Macaca fascicularis: one gene and its partners. The protein of the gene in region 3 interacts with the protein of the main gene of each other region in a pairwise test. Links are inferred from orthologs where the notes say so. Each region holds a gene or a part of one and is shown on either strand. Other genes may lie near its edges.

What was found.
Region 1: the proteins of MORF4L2 (region 3) and L3MBTL3 interact in binary tests that used the Homo sapiens proteins (3 or more experiments, as listed by UniProt). The two-hybrid records come from large-scale screens. The link is inferred for Macaca fascicularis from reciprocal best matches to the Homo sapiens genes MORF4L2 and L3MBTL3.
Region 2: the proteins of MORF4L2 (region 3) and MRGBP interact in binary tests that used the Homo sapiens proteins (3 or more experiments, as listed by UniProt). The two-hybrid records come from large-scale screens. The link is inferred for Macaca fascicularis from reciprocal best matches to the Homo sapiens genes MORF4L2 and MRGBP.
Region 4: the proteins of MORF4L2 (region 3) and ZBTB43 interact in binary tests that used the Homo sapiens proteins (3 or more experiments, as listed by UniProt). The two-hybrid records come from large-scale screens. The link is inferred for Macaca fascicularis from reciprocal best matches to the Homo sapiens genes MORF4L2 and ZBTB43.

The regions. Positions count from the first base shown.
Region 1 is NC_088378.1:34,011,819-34,016,342, forward strand, and holds the start of L3MBTL3 (lethal(3)malignant brain tumor-like protein 3), read left to right. Parts: upstream 1-1,293; 5' UTR 1,294-1,377; intron 1,378-1,510; exon of another isoform or gene 1,511-1,667; intron 1,668-1,773; exon of another isoform or gene 1,774-1,950; intron 1,951-2,120; exon of another isoform or gene 2,121-2,426; intron 2,427-2,980; exon of another isoform or gene 2,981-3,378; intron 3,379-4,524. UniProt on the Homo sapiens protein: Is a negative regulator of Notch target genes expression, required for RBPJ-mediated transcriptional repression. It recruits KDM1A to Notch-responsive elements and promotes KDM1A-mediated H3K4me demethylation.
Region 2 is NC_088384.1:118,859,758-118,864,473, forward strand, and holds the start of MRGBP (MRG/MORF4L-binding protein), read left to right. Parts: upstream 1-1,485; 5' UTR 1,486-1,557; coding exon 1,558-1,705; intron 1,706-2,149; coding exon 2,150-2,271; intron 2,272-4,510; coding exon 4,511-4,592; exon of another isoform or gene 4,593-4,716.
Region 3 is NC_088395.1:110,057,776-110,062,585, reverse strand, and holds the start of MORF4L2 (mortality factor 4-like protein 2), read left to right. Parts: upstream 1-1,597; 5' UTR 1,598-1,656; intron 1,657-2,129; exon of another isoform or gene 2,130-2,144; intron 2,145-2,920; exon of another isoform or gene 2,921-2,989; intron 2,990-4,357; 5' UTR 4,358-4,447; intron 4,448-4,810. UniProt on the Homo sapiens protein: Component of the NuA4 histone acetyltransferase complex which is involved in transcriptional activation of select genes principally by acetylation of nucleosomal histone H4 and H2A.
Region 4 is NC_088389.1:17,205,796-17,210,538, reverse strand, and holds the start of ZBTB43 (zinc finger and BTB domain-containing protein 43), read left to right. Parts: upstream 1-1,512; 5' UTR 1,513-1,637; intron 1,638-4,743. UniProt on the Homo sapiens protein: May be involved in transcriptional regulation.

The sequences.
Region 1 (4,524 bases), on a different chromosome or scaffold from region 3:
TTGGTTTGGAGAATTTGGTCAGCACACCAACATTAGATATATCGGGTGGTCTGCTTCTATAGGGTAATTTCATGGTCCTAAGGAAAGAATTTAAGAGTTTATTTTCTGAAACTGGTTCAAGAAACATTCCTTAAGTGAAAAATTTCAATCAAGAATAATATTCCCTACATTTTGGAGAAGGATTTTTAATATAGAACTTCCATCTGTGATATATTTAAATTCTAGGCCTCAGGCAGCAGTTTCAGAAAAGGGCCTCCTTTACCCTTTATTAGATGCAAAATAAATAGTCTACTCTGCGGATGGGGACTTCCCCTTACCTCCCCACCCCTGCGAAATCTAAGACATGCTTCCCTCATTCCTAAAATCACACATGCTACTTTTTTTTTTTCACACAGAAACTCTACTATTGACATCAAAATATTTATTAAAACTTTAATTACTCGAATTATTTTGTAAGTACTCCTATTCAGTAGAAAAGAAGACCGGTGAAGCTGTCCAAATGGCGGCCTGCAGTCAATGCGTGGAAAGCTGTCAATACCGAAATGTAATACTCTCTTGATCTAGTTTTGACACTTTAACAAAGACAGGTTTTGCCATTTAGGACCGCTCAGCCATCTTGACTGAATACGTTAAGAGGGTAGTCCTGGACCTGCTTATTGCCAAGGGACTTTCACAGTGATTTCTAAGTTACTGTAGGAATCTCAGCCTATCACTCGACAGAGGCCTAACATGTTGGAGCTGTCAATAAAGATCCGCACTTTGGAAGCGGAAAGAAGGCACAAGTTTTATATGCACACTTTCTTTATTATGCATTCTTCCAGCCATCAAAGAGGGGAAGATTGTACTCTCCCAAAGCTTACAACTTTGTTACTTTTCATGACCTGTAGCATGTATTTAGCCTTTGGGTAATGTTTGTGCAAGACTAAGGCCCACTCTTTAATGGCTGAATGCATACATTTCGCAGCACATGGTGGATTCGCTGCTCTGAGAATTGCCTTTAAAAAAAGTAAAGTGAAAAATAGACAAAGAAATCTGGAACCTTAGCAGTGTTTCCTATTTGTTTGGACTGTTCTTGAACCAGCTCTCAGGCGGTGACCGGGCTATTGAAAAGATGCACCTGAAACAGGATCTGCGGGCAGCTGCATTTGCCACCCGGCTTTATTGCTGCTTTCCAGCGGCGAAGGCGCAGCAGCAGTAACAGGGAAGCCAGAGCGAGCCTCCCCGGCAGCGGCGGCGGCGGCGGCGGCACCGGCACCAGCGCAGTTTCCCCTCTCCCCAGCCCTGACTCTACGCGCACATGCGCACTGCGCCCGCAGCCCTGGACCATTTGTCAGGACTACTCGTGAGACGGAGAAAAAAAAAAGAGAAAATTTGGGGGTAAGAAGCGGTTGATCGGATCTAATCTCTAATTAATCTGAAGATTTGTCCGTGCAAAAGCCATTCATTTATTTTTCTGGGTGAGGATGAAAGTTAAGAGCCCTATAGAGGGAAGGAAGCGCACCCTCGTCTTGTGAAACAGATCAGGGGAGGGGAGGGACAGAAGGGGTTTCTCCCCCACTTCTCTGCGCCTCTGGGAAAGAGGAGAAAACTTAATCCCGGGGAAAAAAGTGGGCAAGTGACTCGGAAACGGCTGGAGAGGGAGTCTCTGGGCATCTCACTCTGAAGTAGTGAGTGCGAGTGTGAAAGAGGAACAAAAGAGAGAGAAAAGAGAAAGGAAAAAATGGGGGGAGGAGAGACTTGTATTTTTTTCTTTGCGCGCACACGGGGAAGGGTGTGGGGGGCCGTGCGGAAGGGAGCCGGGGCGAGGCGGCCGCGTCGGGCTCAGGCTGGCGCGCAGGCGGCGGGATGCGTGTGGCCCCCTCCCCCGCGCCCCCCGAGCTTGTCACTTTGGTCGCTTTCGTGACACCGGGCGCGGGGTGGGGGAGCGCGGCGGCGCCGGGCTCCGCCGGGGTGCGTGTCCGGGTGGGCGCCGCGGAGCCGCAGCCCGGGCGGCGAGCGCGGCCGCCGAGGCGGGGGGCGCCGGCGGGGGGCGCGGGGGCGGCCGGGGACGCGGATCGGTGCGGCGGGAGGCGCGAGCCCCGCGCGCCGCCCCTGCGGCCCCCTCCGCCCGTGTGGCCTTTGTGCCGGGCGCGCACCGGAGAGCGAGCGAGCGGGCGGGCGAGCGCGAGAAGTACAAGTACGGGAGACCGAGGCAGTGGGAAAAGAGGCCGGGCCACTTTCTCCCCTCTCGGGCTGCGGAGAATGGACTGGTTGAATGTGCAGGCGCGTCTCCCCGGCGTGTGCTGTGTGTGTGCGCGGCGGAAAGGCCTGCCCGACTCCCACCGCGCACACGCACACTCACACGCACGCACACACACGGACCCGCGGCGGGGCTCGGCGGCCGAGAGTTTGCGTGGCTTCCTCGCCGCCTCCCTCTTCCCGACCGAGTGTGTGAGAATTTCATATAGATCAGCTCCAATTTCCGCCATTTTGGGAAAGTTGCACAAAAATAAACCCTCCGGTTTATTTCTGCCCGAGGCAGGAAAGTGCTTTGGGAAGCGAGGCGGCGCGGGCCCGCGGCGGCCGTCCGCGCGGGAGAGGGCGCGGGCCGCGGGCCGGGCCGGGAGCCCGCGCCGTCGCGGCGTTCGCCCCGCGCCGTGCCGCGCCGCGCCGGCCCGGGTGCGGGCGCGGGCGCGGGCGTGTGTCGGGAGGCGGCGGCGGCGGCGGTCGCGGCGGCGGCGGCCGCGCCGGGGCGGCGGGCTGGGGGGGGAGGGTGGGGGCGGCGCGGGGCTGCTTTTCCTGCAACTTGTTTACGCCTGCCTTATCCTGGGGAGGAAAAGAGGGGTCGGGGCCGGGGCCGGGGCCGCCGCCCGCCTCGCGCCGCGTGCGTGTGCCGTTCCGGAATAATGGGCTTTGCACACTCGCGTCCTGGGCCCCGCGGGCCGTCCTCGCGCCGCGGCGGCGGGGCGGGGGGAAGTAGAGGCCGGCGGGGGTGGGGATCGGGAAGCGCAGGAGCCGAGGCATCCGCCGCGCGCCCCGCGAGCTGGTGGAGTGTGGGGGCCGGCGGGCAGGGAGGAAAACTTGAGAGCCTGGAGGGGGAGGAGGGCACGGTGGCACGGGCGGGGGGAGGGCGCAACTTTTGGACTGGTGGTAAAACTTTAATTACCTTTCAAGAAAAAAAAGGCCCTGCGATTCCCCCCTCCCCCCGTCCCGGTCAAAGCACGGCCCGCAGCGCGACCGTGAGAGAAAGTTTAAAAGCGGGCGGGTTCCTCCCGGGTCCCCGCGGAGGGCTGGGGGCGTCGGTCTGTCCGCCTGCGCTCGGAGGGAGGTGGGGGTAACTAACTGCTCTCCGGGGCGCGGGGACCGCGGCTTTACCCCACCCTTCCACGGGAGACGGAGGTAAACGTTGCTTCGGTTTCCCTTCTGAGTCCCCCTGCTGCCACCACCCCGCTTCCTTTTCCTCCCCCTCCCCGCCGATTTTTTGAGGGGACCCGAAAAACAGAGTCCCTTTCCTTAGGCAACTTCCTTGGGCACTGTGAGCACGGCCCTCCCCCTCACCGCCCCCACCCCCAACGCCCCGCATCCCTTGGCCCGCTTCTTCTCCACCTCGGGGCCACCGCCAGAAAAATGCATTCGAGATCATTCAGAGTGCATAGAAACAAAAATAGATTTTTAATTGTTAGGTTAGGGGGAACTGAGATGAGAAATAAGATTTTGGGGTGGGGGGGCGCGGCCGGGGCAAGTGCGTCCATTTCTCCTTTTGGTTTTCCTAGAGCGTTGTTTGTGATGTCTTTATTGGTTTAGGGAGTCCGAGAGGCTGTGTGCTGGCTATCTCGGTCGCGTGGATTTTTGCGCAAGTTTTTAGAAAAACACTGACTCGAGTAGAGAGCATTTCTCCGGAAAGTTTCAAGTGCAGCAAAATAGCGAACGTGCAAAACTGGCCAAGGGGAGACCTCTAGTGGTTAAACGCGTCTTTAAGTTCGGAAGGCCGAGAGCAAAGTTTGGCCTTTACTTGTAGCTACGTAGTCCGTTCAGACGTGGAAGTAATTAGAGGACCTGAGCGAGCAGCCAGATGTTGTGTGAAAGGATGCTTGATCAGAAATTGAAAGTTTAGTAAATCGGAGCAATGAATTCTGAGGACTCAGACCCTGTAACTTCCATCCGACATGAGTTATGTGGGAAAAACACTTTGCTCTTATTCTGGGATTTGAGATTGATCGCTCCCTGAATTGGAAACAATTGTTTGCTTTTGCATTTATCGGTGTCTGTACCTCTGATCAATTTTTAATTATGAGTCTCAGCTGATGACTTCATTTTGAATGTTAATAAAACTGCGAAGTTGAAATGTGTTTAAAACTTTTGAAGAAATGGAAAAGACCTTTAGTTGAGATTTGCCTTTTATATGAGCTGTTCATTTTACTCTCTGATAAATATAAGGCAATTTTATGTAGTTTCTTAGCTGTATAGTTATGTATAGTCCGAATAAGTAGTCCCTTTTGGTTCTAAGACTGTAATTTTGTTTCACTGAGTACGAAATTGTTTCTG
Region 2 (4,716 bases), on a different chromosome or scaffold from region 3:
AGCCTGGCCAACATGGTGAAACCGCGTCTCTACTAAAAATACAAAAATTAGCCGGCCGTAGTGAGGGCCTGTGGTCCCAGCTTCTCGGGAGTCTGTCGGGAGAATTGCTTGAACCCGAGAGGCAGAGGTTGCAGTGAGCCAAGATCGCGCCATTGCACCCCAGCCTGGGCAACAGAGCGAGACTCTGCCTCAGAAACAAAAAAGAAGCCGATCCCCATCCGCAGTGACTCGCGTTTCCCTCCCCCTCCCCCGTCCCCGGCAACTGTGCGTCTACTTTCTATTTCTATGGAGTTGCCAGTTCTGGCTCTTCCTGTGAATGGATTCCCATGCTGCGTATTTTGGTGTCTGAATTCTCTGACTTTCGTCTCAGCCCGCACCCACGCTGCCGCAGTCCGCGCTCGCGGCTTTTAGGCTGAACGCGGCTGCGCCGTGCGGGTGCCCGCGCTCCGTGCGCCCCTAGCCGGTTCAGCCCCGGTTGGGGGCGGCGCTAGCCTTGCGGCTGCGGATCCCAGCCTGAACCTGTGTCTTGTTCCACCGTTGCGGGCGCCCGCCACGGAGCTGCTGCCTCCTAGGGAGACGGTTCCATCGTTGAAGGAACGGCCGTTCTGTCTTTCGCAGCAGCGACTCCATCTGGCCCCACAGCACGACCGCACGAGGGTCCCGAGTCCGGATCCTCGCAGTACTCGCCACCCCGGCCGCGTGGTTGCGGCGGTCTCGGCGGGGAAGGGGGTCCCCACGCGGGCTGGTTCGCGTTTCGCGTGACCGATGGTGCTCATTGGCCATCTATACATCTTTTTTTTTCTTTTTCCCGAGTCGGAGTTTCTCTCTTGTTGCCCAAGCTGGATTGCAATGGCGCGATCTCCGCTCACTGCAACCTCCGCCTCTCGGGTTCAAGCGATTCTCCTGCCTCAGCCTCTCGAAGTAACTGGGATTACAGGCGCCCGCCACCACGGCCGGCTAATTTTGTTGTATTTTTAGTAGAGACGGGATTATGCCATGTTGGCCAGGCTGGTCTCGAATTCCTGACCTCAGATGATCCTCCCGCCTCGGCCTCCCAAAGTGCTGGGATTACAGGCGTGAGCCACCGCGCCCGGCCCATCTGTACATCTTCTTTGGAAAAATGTGTATCCAAATCCTTTGCCGTTTTATAGTTAGACTGTCTTTTTATTATAGAGTTATATTTATACCTTCTGCAAGGAAGTTCCTTATCAGATACAGGATTTGCAAATACTTTCTCCCAATCTGTGGGTCGTCTTTTCACTTTGCTGATGGTTTTCTTTGAAGCAAAAAAGTTTTCTGTTGTTGTTTGGGTGAAGTGTTAGAACACTTACTGTGCTTTAAAGAGGAACACGTTTTAAGCACCCCCGCACGGGGCGGAGCAGGGCGGAGTCCCCGGCGGGAAGGGACCCGAGGCCTCGGCTGCGCCTGCGCCGACGCCGGCGCGTGAGCCGGAGCTCGTGCCTGGCGAAGCGCGCGCCCGCCCCCGAGTGCGCCTGCGCGGAGCTCGTGGCCGCGCCTGCTCCCGCCGGGGGCTCCTTGCTCGGCCGGGCCGCGGCCATGGGAGAGGCCGAGGTGGGCGGCGGGGGCGCCGCAGGCGACAAGGGCCCAGGGGAGGCGGCCACCAGCCCGGCGGAGGAGACAGTGGTGTGGAGCCCCGAGGTGGAGGTGTGCCTCTTCCACGCCATGCTGGGCCACAAGCCCGTCGGTGAGCGCCCAGGCCGCGGACGCGCGTGGGGGCGGGGCGGGCAACCGGCGGGGCGGGGCGGGGCCTGCGCTCGCGGCACCCGCGCCCCCACGCGCCCCGCCGAGCCCGGGCCGTGACACCCCCGCCACACCCGTCCCGGGACCCCCGCCCCCTCCCACGCGCCCTTCGGACCCCGCCCCGGACCCCGCCCCCGGCCCCTACCCCCGTGACACCGCGAGGCCCCAGCCCGCAGCGCCCCACCCCCACCTCTGCCCCGGGACGCCCCACCCCCTCCCACACACACCACCCAGCCCTGCCCCCCGACAGCCTCTCCGCACCCTGGCCCGCCCCATCCCACCGCGGCCACCCTTGCCCCTCCAGTCCCCAGGGCACCCTATCCCCCCCATCCCCTTTCTCCTTCTCCTCCCCTCTGACCGGTTGTCCCGCCGCCCCTCCTTCCCCCAGGTGTGAACCGACACTTCCACATGATTTGTATCCGGGACAAGTTCAGCCAGAACATCGGGCGGCAGGTCCCATCCAAGGTCATCTGGGACCACCTGAGCACCATGTACGACATGCAGGCACTGGTGAGCCCAACCACCCTCCCTGTGCTGCCCGATGGGGGCACGAACCCACACACCGCTGAGGGTCAGCCTGAGCTGGGCAGAGCAGAGGCCCCTCCATGCCTGCTGGGGTCTGCTGGGCAGAGCCCCCTGCAGTGAGACCCATCCTTAAGGAGGGCATCCCAGGGCTCCAGAGCCTGTCATGGAAAGCACAAACACAATGCTAGCAGCTGGCCAGCTTTTCAGGGGGCCTGCTTTAGACTGGGTGCTGGGCCAGAGCCTCCAGCTGAGACCCTGGGGAGGGAGGGAAGGATGCAGAGGCCCCAGGCCCTTAGGCCCTTGTCAGCCTCCCGGGATGCCCCAGAAGTGCTTTAGGCAGAGGGTGACCCTATCTGAGTCACACCAAGGTGAATTTGGTGGCTTCTGTGGGAGTCAGGCAAATAGAGTCCCAGTCCTCACAGAGCTTGGAGCTGGCAGTGTGTGACGGGCGAGCGCGTTAGCTAGGTAAGCAGGCTGGCCACGAGAGACAGGTGGGTGTTGCAGGCTCTGTGGCAGCAGGAGGTGGTGGGTCCAGGAGTTGAAAGAAGGTGGTGTGCTTGGAGAATGGGGTGGGGGTCAGGGGTCAGGTGACCAGGAGGAGTGGGGACCTGTGCTGGTGGAAGGAGAGTCTGTGCCAGCCACGCTGGACTCAGGGCCACACCAGCCCTTCCAGGAAGACATAGGGGCACCACTGAGGCAAGGAATGCTTGCCGTTGACATTGGTGGAGTGATGTGGGTCTCCTTGTCATAGCTGTAGAAAGGGGACAGAGATGCCAGCCGTGCAGGGGCCTGGCTGTCTGAGGAGAGGAAGGATGCTCAGCCCTAGAAATGCCCTGGAAGCTTAAGCCCCTGTTGCTGCCGCCTCGTGTGTTGAGGACGTTCTGAGCCAGTGCGGCATTTGCACTGGGTGACCAGTACCTAGTGGCCCAGACACAGCTGGCTACTAAGCTCACAAGGTCCTCCCTGGACCCGCTCCTCCCTAGAGCGTATCCATCAGCCATTGAACCCTGGTCACCACCCCTCAGGGTCAGAGGCCCCCTGTCACCAAACTCCCAGCAGCCTCTTGGTTGTGGGAGAGGGCGCTAGGTCCCCAGACACCTCCCACACCGGGATTTGGAGAGATCGGTGTAAATCTATGCCTGTCTCTGGGGAAGACAAACAGCTCCAAGGCCCATAATGTCCCCTGGGGCATGGGTGCTGGCTCAGATGAGCACAGCAGCCCACATGACACTCAGGAAGCCATGTGGGACCGCCAGGCCTTTCAGCCCTAGGACTGTGGCCCTGTTCCTTATTCCTGCAGTGGCCTATGACATCAGTAAGGACTGGGCAAGACCACAGGCTGGCACTTTCTCTGGACCATGACACTTCTGTGTGACTGAGATCTGAGTCTTTCAGACCTTATGAAATACAGAGCCCCTGGAGTACCCCCGAGAGGCTGACCAGCTGGCCCAGGAGATTTTGAGGAGCACAAATGTGGCCTGACTGCCTGTTCCATACAGCACCCAAACTGCCGAGTAGAAGCCCCTGTCTCCTGAATCGCCTCCCAGTCCAGGGCCCTTCCCGCCAGCTCCACTTTTCCCTGGCTCCCAGTCTCTCCCTCTGGTCTGTGTGACCTCAGGAGGGCAGTGCCTGGCAAGCACTCGGGTGGCCCTGCTCCATCTGCTCTTCTTCCTTGCCTGGTTCTGTGCCTGTGGCGCTCCCAACTGACACCCTCAGTGTCCATGGGTTCCTGCCATGTGGATGAGAACTTGAGGTGCCTGCGGCCTTTCCCCAGGGCTGTCACCGTGCCCTCTGCACACCGCCTTGGGGAACGCAGTCTCTTGGTGAGACCATAGGTCGTGGTGGGCAGGCAGGACCCACAGGTGTGCAGTCTCTTGGTGAGACCGTAGGCCGTGGTGGGCAGGCAGGGCCCACAGGTGTATGTCACCAGGGCTACCCGGTCCTCAGGGCCCACCTTAGTGATGCCGGCCCCGGTGGGTCTTCCTGACCCCTGCACGTGCCTCCACTGGTTCTGCCCTCCCTGGGTCTGTCTGAAAAGCCCAGCTGTAGCAGGCACTGTTCACAAAAAGAAGAAATGCCCTTTGCCCATGCCCCGCCCACCGCAGCCTCCAACACAGTGACATGTGCTCGCTGGCTGCTCACCAAGTGGCTCTTACATGGCTGTAGTGGCTTCTTGAAACCGCATCTTCACCCTTGTTTCTTAAAACTCTCTATTTGACATCAGCATGAGTCTGAGATTCTTCCATTCCCGAATCCAGAGAGGAACTTCGTCCTTCCAGAAGAGATCATTCAGGAGGTCCGAGAAGGTGAGACTCGGGAGAGGTTGGGCTTGGGAATCAGAAAAGGCCAGACCCTGGCCAAGGGCGGGGAGGTGAGGGTGAGGACCCCGGGCCTCCAGGGAGGTGTGAGGGTCCAGCGCAGACCCCGCCC
Region 3 (4,810 bases):
GGCTAGAGGCAGGTGAAGTTCAAATCCTGGTTCCCATACTTGTTGTGTGCACTAAGAAAATAATTTGACATCTCTACACATTAGTTTTCAATCTGTAAAATAGGACTGATAATATGGATGGTGTGTGAAAACATATACTGTGCATCATTTATTATTTTGCTTTACATTCTGTAGCACCCTCTAGTGGTGTATACAAAAATATGCATTGCATTTCTACTCTCCAAAGCAGTGGTTCTCAAACTTCAGTGTGTGCTGGAATCACTGGGATAGTTTGTAATAACACAGATTACCAAACCCCACCGTGCGAACTTCTGATTCATTAAGTTTGAGGTGGGACCTGAGAATGTGAATTTCTGACAATTTTTCAGGTGATGCTGATGTTTCTGGTACATCCAGGAAACACATCTTGTGAACCACTGCTCTAAAAAAATCCCTCTTGTGTACAAGTATATAAGATAGATAATTGAAAGGGGTATGATTTTTGTTGTTTGACTTTGATCTAGTACTGCTCATCTAATAAGGACTTGGTGATAAATTTAAAAAAAAATCGACATGAAGGATATAACACAGCATCTAAAATATAGAAAGCATACAAAAAACTGAGGATCACAGAACATAAATCATTTGCCCAGGGTACTGAGACTAGTAAGTGGTGGAATGAGGTTAACAATTAAGTCTCTTTCTCTCACTCCAAAGACACAATAAAATCTACCAATACCACTACAGAAAATAGGGTGCAAACACACATATCTGATACAAATTTCAAGAGAAAAGGAAAATCAGTTTTCTTTTTTTTTTTTTTTGAGACGGAGTCTCACGCTGTTGCCCAGGCTGGAGTGCAGTGGCGCGATCTCGGCTCACTGCAAGCTCCGCCTCCCGGGTTCACGCCATTCTCCTGCCTCAGCCTCCTGAGTAGCTAGGACTACAGGCGCCCGCCACCGCGCCCGGCTAATTTTTTTGTATTTTTAGTAGAGACGGGGTTTCACTGTGGTCTCGATCTCCTGACCTTGTGATCCGCCCGCCTCGGCCTCCCAAAGTGCTGGGATTACAGGCTTGAGCCACCGCGCCCGGCCTTGGAAAATCAGTTTTCAATACCAGGGTCCAAGTTTTACTGATGAGTTCTTATCTCTTTACTAAAGTAACAGCTATCTGTATTTTCAGTTTGGGTGAGTTGCGAGCATTTGAAAAGTTGAGGAAAAAGGGTTAGGATCTTCAGCATCAGTGCTTGGGTCATTCATTAACTCTTTGATTAAACAAGGCAAGGACAAAAGAAGCGAGGGATGGAGAGGGGCCTTCCCCCCCGCCCCCCCACCCAAGGAGAAAAGGAAAGAAATGAGTAAAATTATTTGGATCTTGGGTCACAGTTCCCTGCCTACTAGTGCTATTCACAGAAGCTGATTTTATTTTTTCCTAGGAATGAACGATATCAATGATGCCTTAGATATTAGCGTTCAGCAAATCAAGAAAGGGGAGGGGGGAGGGAAACAAAATCCCAGAATCCCAGGGACCACACAGCCAATCCTTTGCTGGGATTTGGCGGCATCTAGTGGCGAACTCGAGAGGTATAAACCTTACCCACAGAACTTTCTGGAAAATTAACAGTGCGTATTTGCCTGAAGAAGGTCAGTGTGCTTGCTTGGAGATCAGAACGCAAAGGTAAGAGCGCCCTAGTCACCATAAAAATCCGGAGTCTCTAACGGAGGGGAAGGCTGTCATAGATAGATATTCTCATAGGAAAATTGTATTTGTGCCAAGAGAACTGCACGCAACCTTGAAGGGAGGGGGGAGGTGTGGAAGAGGGGAGGGAGGAGGATACTAGACAACTTGAAAGAAGTCTCCCTTTGGAGTTGCTAATGTGACGATGGAAGGCTTTGGCTCTGAATCATTGGAGGGCTGTGGTTTACGACCGGATTTTGGCACAGAGGAGTATTTAAATCAGGGAAAGCCAAAATATTTCTGACAGTGCCCCTTTATCTCTGTTATTGTCGCCTTGCCTTAATTATTTATTTTCCTTTTCATTAGAACATTTTCAAACAAAATACAGAAATAGATAACCTGCGCGCAGTAGCTAACCCCTCCCCGCAACTCCCACCCCAATCACGCACGCGGGCGCGCGCCGTGGCTCTCACCAGTCCAGACGCCAGGGGCGCACGCCTGCGCAAACACATCACCTCCAGCGCCACGAGGGCCGCTCACACAGCAACCCCAGGGGCACTCGAGCCTGCCCGCGCACTAACACACTGGCCTTAATGCCTTGCGCCCGTTGCACTCACGACCCTAACTCGCAAACACAGCAGAACCCCCCACTGCGCCTTTTTTTTCCATGTTCGGGGAGTTGCGCCACAGGCCTGGGGGCGTGGCTCCAGATTTGACCTCGCGCTTCCCCACTCGCGGGAACCTTAGCTCATTTCCGCCTATTTCCGCAGGCCACGTAGACACTTCCTCTCCCAGTGGGGGGCTGGGGGGAAACACAAACCCATAATGCCTCCCTGCAGGAAAAAAATTAAAAAAAAAAAAAAAAGGAAAAGGAAAAAAAAAAAAACCTTCTGGTCAGAGGAACTCTGGGTCGTGAAATAGGCCACGTGAACATTCTGCCCTATAGACTTATGACCCAACGGCTGTCACGCTTTTGGAGGGCGGGCTAAAAACCTAAGAGGGCGAACGTCATTGGCCGGAACGCGCACTGACGGAGGAAGAGGATTGGTTTGCTGTAGGCCTTAACAGTGAAGAAGCAGGTTGCTAGCACCCGCCTTTACTGCGGCGAAGTGTCATTGCTGACGTGGGGGTGGTTGTCCAATCATTTGGTTATGGAACATTCTAAAACTTAGACAAGACGATTGTGATTGGCTGAAGGGCATACGCCCTCCTCCAGGGTGACGTGTCTGCCTATGGATATCAGTTGCCAGAGAAACCTGGCTTTACTATGGCGGTTGGAGGAACGGCAGTGATCACACGTCGTCTGCTGGGAAGATCTGGATTCTCGTTTCAGGTTTCGGGGTGGGGGTGGGGAGAAAGGGTCGATGATTTCCTCTTTTCGTCGGGTATAGACGGGATTAGCTAGTTCCTTCACAATCGGTCAGAGCTGGATTCAGATTCCTGCTCGCCAACGCCCAGCTTGGGCAAGGCTCCTGTTCTTTCTGTGTCTCGGTTTCCATGTTTGTAAAATGGTGATAATAATAGTATCTACCTCAGAGACGTGTACTGTATAATGGTGCGTATAAGGCACGTAATATGAAGCCTGGCCCCTGAAGATATTAGCTATTGTTATGGAGATAAATAATACACGTAATAGAATGAGAAAAATTATAAATTATATAAATTCGCTAATTGTAGTGCCCTTTCTGCCATCAACTTCTTTCCTAGAATAAATTAAAGATAAAAGAGATATATCAATTTTTACCAATGAAATAATTTGCTCTTTGGGAATTGCCTCAAAATTGCAGAGATTGTAATTTTCCCATGTTGAAAAGTTAAATAAAAGGTGGGGGGGTGGAGTGCGAGAAAGAAAGAGATGGAGAACGAGAGCGAGCTGGAGATGAACCACATGCGATGAGTAGGCCTTGTTTGGATCCTGAATCGAACACACCAACTGTAAAAATATGTTTAAGACGCATCGGGAAAATTGGAACATGGATTCGATATTTGATGTTTTTTAAGGAATTGATGTCAATTTTTTTAGGCGTCACAGTAGTATTGTGATTATGTTTTCAAATTGTCCTTTTTTGTAGAGACATATACGAAAATATTTACGGATTAAATAATATAATGTCTGGGATTGGCTTCTAAATACATTAATGACTAGGATTTGCTTCAAAATAATCTAAGCGGTAGGGGGAAATGGGGAGGGGTATAGATGAAACAAAATTGACCCTAAATTAATAATAGTTTTTGCTGAGTGATAGGCAGTGGGTTCCGTATATTAATCTGCTTTCCTTGGTATACGTTTAAATTTTTGTATAATAAAATACAGAAGTCAGATATTCCCGTGAGCTTGAAAAAGTCGGGGGTGGGGGGGAGCAGTGGGTGGGGTTATAGATGAAACAAGATGGCCTTCAGTTGGTAATTGTTGAAAGCTGGATGATGGATTCGTGTAGGTTTGTAATACTATTCTTTTATTTCATCCATTTGAAATTATCTTTAAGGAAAAGTTAAAAAAATTGTCAGAAGTTATATAAATATACAATAAGTTAAATTTGAAAATGTAGCCACAAGAAAGGAAAAAGAAATACTTGTACATTATTTATCAGCTTTGGTGTCCTTTGTGTGTGATGAAATTGCATTGGCTGATGTAGAAGAAAGCCATATCTCATATCTTTTTATTTTATGTCCTTTCCTGTCCTTTTGTTTGACCTTCTAGGTCACCATCAGAAAAGCTAAGTTTGCTGTATAGTGAGGATCAGGAGGTCTGATCCTGATTGCAGAACCTTCCCTGATTACAGAATCTTGGGTAAGTGCCTCCCTTCTGGCCTCAGTTCTTAAACAAGATAATACCACATAACCTTCCTAACTGTCCAGGAATATTTTGAAAATTAATAAGCTCCTATCTGGGAAAGTAGTCTAAATTCTGAGAAGAGAAGGATGGGGCTAAGTCCATTGGTAGTTTCAGTATAGAAAGTACATAAGCAACAGAGGACTGTGTAATCTTACATCTCTTGATAAAAGATATTACAGTCAATCCCCTGTAGTAGTTCCACAGTTCCATATATTACATTTTTCTTTGGAGCATCCTATATGCAGCATAGTTTAGTGGTTAAGAGCAAATACTTCCTGAATTTAAATCCTGGCTCTGCCACTTAACTATGTGATCTTG
Region 4 (4,743 bases), on a different chromosome or scaffold from region 3:
AGGAGTTTGAGACCAGCCTGGCCAAGATGGTGAAACCCTGTCTCTACTAAAAATACAAAAATTAGCCGGGCGTGGTGGCGGGCACCTGTAGTCTCAGCTACTCGGGAGGCTGAGGCAGGAGAATTGTTTGAACCTGGGAGGCGGAGGTTGCAGTGAGCCGAGATTGCGCCACCGCACTCCAGCCTGGGCAACAGAGCAAGACTTTGTCTCAAAAAAAAAAAAAAAGGCGGGGGGGCTGGAGCATACATGTTTTAAGTAGAATCTTTGACAAGCTGTTCTGCATCCATTCCCATTTCTGTGCTTCCATATTTGTTTTCTTTCATTTCGCTTTCTAGAAATTTTTTCTTTTCTTTTCTTTTTTCTTTTCTTTTTTTTTTTTTTTTTTTTTTTGGTAGAATTCTCTCTAGAAAAGCTACACTCCTGTGTCCTAGGGCCCAACAACAAGCAAGACAGGCATAATAGCTGGGAAGCCAATCAGCTTAAACTAAGACAGACAATATCAAAAGGGCATGTCTAGCCCAGGAGAACATCCACCCTAAATCCAGAAGGCATTATGACCACATCTCTTCAGCTGCCTGGATTTCAGGTATAAATTAGCTCTTCCACAAAGAGGGCACTTGGTCTATAAACGGGTCCAAAGGTAAGAGTCCCACTGCTATAAGACCTATCTCTCTTCTACACTAACGTGGTGGGGCAAGGGGGAAGAAAGGGGTGAGAAGGATGGAGGGTTTGGGGAAGGAGTGGGAGAACTGGAAGCTAGAGAGATCGTTTCTGTCCCACCATCTGTGTGACCCCAGTGCCCAGCACAACGCAGCCCACGGAAAGGCACTGGTCCTTTCATTGAACGTTTACTGAACATCTACTACATGCCAAAAAGCTGGATGGGTGCTGTGGAGGCAGAAATGGATTTGGAGATAATCTCCGCCAGGCAAACTGAGGTCAAGGTTTTCGTTTGTTTGTTTAGAGAAGAGACGGAGAAGGTCAAGGTGTTTTTGTTTTGTTGTTGTTGTTAAGAGTCTTGCTCTGTGCCCAGGCAGGAGTGCAGTGGCATGATCTCGCCTCACTGCAACCTCTGCCTCCCGGGTTCAGACAATTCTCCTGTCTCAGCTTCCCAAATAGCTGGGACTACAGGCGCCAGTAACCACACTCAGCAATTTTTGCATGTTTTGTAGAGACAGGATTTCACCATGTTGGCCGGGATGGTTTCGAACTCCAGCCTCAAGCGATCTTCCCGCCTCGGCCTCCCAAAGTGCTGGGATTACAGGCGTGGGCTACCGCGCCTGGCCTATGTCAAGGTTTCAAGAAGGTTTAGAACTCGGTATCTGCTCCCCTATTTTCAACAGCTTAGTCAGTCCCTAAAATTGATTGACCCGCTCCAGACTGTACTGCGCAGGCGCCCGCTACCTATGCGCTCTCTCCGGACGCCCAGCTCAGACAGTGAATCCCGCATGCGCACTCCTCTTTCTCTCTGGCGCACCCCCGGAAGCACTGTCAATTTCGGGGGGCGGGACCGGGAAGCGTTTCCGGGGGCTGAGGCACAGGCTGAATCTGTTGCGGCAGCGAAGGCTAGAACAGGCCTGCGCCGGCGGCGGAGAGGATCCCTTGGACGGGGGATGTGAGCGCTGAGCCCTTGGCAGGTACTGAGTGGCCAGGACCACGGGCGGCAAGGCTAAGGGAGGAGAAGTTGGTGGGGGAGTTAAGGGCTCCTCTGCAGGCCCCGACGCACGCGCCGCTTGCCCCGCCAGGCCCATTCCGTGGACCGGCATGCTAAAGCCCCGCGCGGAAGGTTGGGGTCCCGGCGCCCCAGCTCCGAATCCCGCAGTCTCCTGCCCACACGGCGCGCAGACCGCGATACCAAGGCCTTTGGGGCAGCTTCTCGCCCAAGGTCACCCTCGCGGCAGCGGAGCTCCGCCGGCCACAGCGCTTAGAGATCCTGCCCCCGTCCGTCCGCTGGCCTTTCGGGGCGTAGGGTGGGCGCGGCTTGACGGCCTCGGGTTCGAGCCACCAATGCGTGAAGCCTGAAGAGCCGAGCTGGCAGAAAGACTGCGCCTGGACTTCTCTGATCTTCTTTTCCCTTCTGTTTCACCCCGGTTGCTGTCTCTGTCACCTGTTGTAACCTGTCCTTTTTGTCTTTCAGCTAGGTCCCTGTCAACCTGATATTTCTCTCCACTTTGTCTTTCTCGGGGTATATGGATCCTGTTTCATATCTGTCTCCACCTTGCTTCTGTGTCTGTTCACCCTGTCTCTGCCACTCAGCCCTTACTCTAATTCAGGGCCTGTCAGTCTAGCTTTTTGGCCATCTGTCTGTTTTTCTCTCTTTCTTCCAACTTTTTTTTTTCCTCTTGTTTCTGTTTCCTAGCTGAGTTTGTCTGGGTAGGGCAGGGCTGCCCAGACCTCTGAGCCATGGAAGGTGACTCATGACCCCGTGAAGCTCCCTGCACTGGTGACACTCTCAGTGATTCGACCGCAGTTTGGCCTCAGCTCTGACAGGTGCCGCCCAACATAAGTGTCAGAGTGCAGGAGAGTCTGTCAGGGAGACAGGAGGCCCATTTTGGGGCCAGAGCAGCTTGATGAGTCCTAGCCTTTTCTCGCCTGTGGTTTTTCAGGCCTGCACAGCTTCCCAAATCCCTTCACTCCATCCACTTAACCACGGGATGGTCTCCAGGGATCTCTGGAGCCTGCTCTTTGAGTTACAGCTGTTTAACTGGCCTGTCTACAGGCTAAAGAAGGATCAGACTGAGATCTTTGGGGCTACTGGAACAGTAGCAGAGTTTCTGGGAGAGCTGCATGCTTAGTTCAGAGACTGTGTCAGCATTTTCGGTTAAATTGTAAGAAACCTAATAATCGGGGATTTATTATTTGCTTTACAAAAGTACCACGGGAGAAATAAACCGTACACAAAAGGACAAATATTGTTTGAGAGCACTTAAATGAAGTACCTAGAATAAACCAATTAAGAGACGGAAAGTAGAATAGTTTACCAGGGGCTGGAGAGAGGAGTTAGTGCTTAATGGATACAGAACAGAGTTTTGGGGGATGATGAATAAAGTCTGAAAATGGGTTGTGATGATTGCACAATATTGTGAATGTACTTCACTGAATTGGACTCTTAAGAATGCTTAAAATTGTTAAGTCTTAAAGTTTTATGTATATTTTATACAATACAAAAAAAACAAAAACAGTATTCATTGGAGACTCCTGAAACCAATAAGCTCCTTTTTTTTTTTTTTTTTTTTGAGACGGAGTCTTGCTCTGTCACCCAGGCTGGAGTGCAGTGGCCGGATCTCAGCTCACTGCAAGCTCCGCCTCCCGGGTTTACACCATTCTCCTGCCTCAGCCTCCCGAGTAGCTGGGACTACAGGCGCCCACCACCTCGCCTGGCTAGTTTTTTGTATTTTTTAGTAGAGACGGGGTTTCACCGTGTTAGCCAGGATGGTCTCGATCTCCTGACCTCGTGATCCGCCCGTCTCGGCCTCCCAAAGTGCTGGGATTACAGGCTTGAGCCACCGCGCCCGGCCCAATAAGCTCCTTTTACGTGTAATTTTTCAAAATTCATTCTGTAGTTGTTAGGAACATTTAGTTGAACCTGGGTTTATTGATTCCTACTCTCTTTACAGCAGTGGGTACAGCTGAGGTTCTTAGAAAAGTTTAGTTAAATGGATATGGTTAAAATCTTCCTCAAGCTTTCTACTTACTTTCTGCCCTGGCTCTCTTCCCTCTGCCTTTCTTGGAATCAGTGCAAGAATCTGCTCATAAGTAGGATACTTGATAATTATACTCTTCACAGGAAGAAAACTCATAAGGTTGAAAAATAGCCCTTTTATTATAATGCAAAATTATGTGTTATTTCTTGAGTTTTCTTATGGGGGATGCCTTTGTGGGTTTTTTGTTTTTTAAAATCTCTTATTTAAGCTCTTTGCCTTTAAGGTAGTTTATTAAACTTTCTAATAAGATATCGCAACTGAATTACTAGTTTATTTCATTGAATGCTAGATGCTGTTGATTATTTCATGTACCACTAAGGAAGAGAGAAACCCTGCTAATTAAACTATGGCTTAATGCGCTCTTATCGTTTAGACTTTTTATTATTGAAAACACTTTTAAACTTAGACACTAAAAAATGGTATCAATGCCTATGCTAATGCATGTATATACAAAGGAAAAATAAGAATAAATTGGTTAAAGTATTCATTAAAGTTAACATTCCAGGTTCTACTCTTTATACTTTTCAGTTCAGAGTGTGTCCATATTTTTTCTAGCGTGTCATCCTTTGTGTCATCAAGAACATTGATGAGGACCTCAGCAGTTCGCTGTCATTGCCTCAGGCTGTGACAACTATTAAAACTGCCACCTGGTGATCACATGCTGATTTCAGGAATTTTAAAATGTGAAAAAATGCATGTCTGAAAATTAATTGAATAGTATCATTTTCGTGAACTTTTCCATTTCTTTTTTCTTTTTCTTTTTTTTTTTGTGATGGAGTCTCGCCTTGTCACCCAGGCTAGAGTGCAGTGGTGCAGTCTCTGCTCACTGCAACCTCCACCTCCCAGGTTCAAGCGATTCTCCTGCCTCAGCCTCCCAAGTAGCTGGGATTACAGGCGCCTGCCACCATACACAGCTAATTTTTGTATTTTTAGTAGAGACAGGATTTCACCATGTTGGCCAGGCTGGTCTCAAACTCCTGACTTCAAATGATCCACCTGCCTTGGCCTGCCAAAGTGTCGGGATTACAGGTGTAAGCCA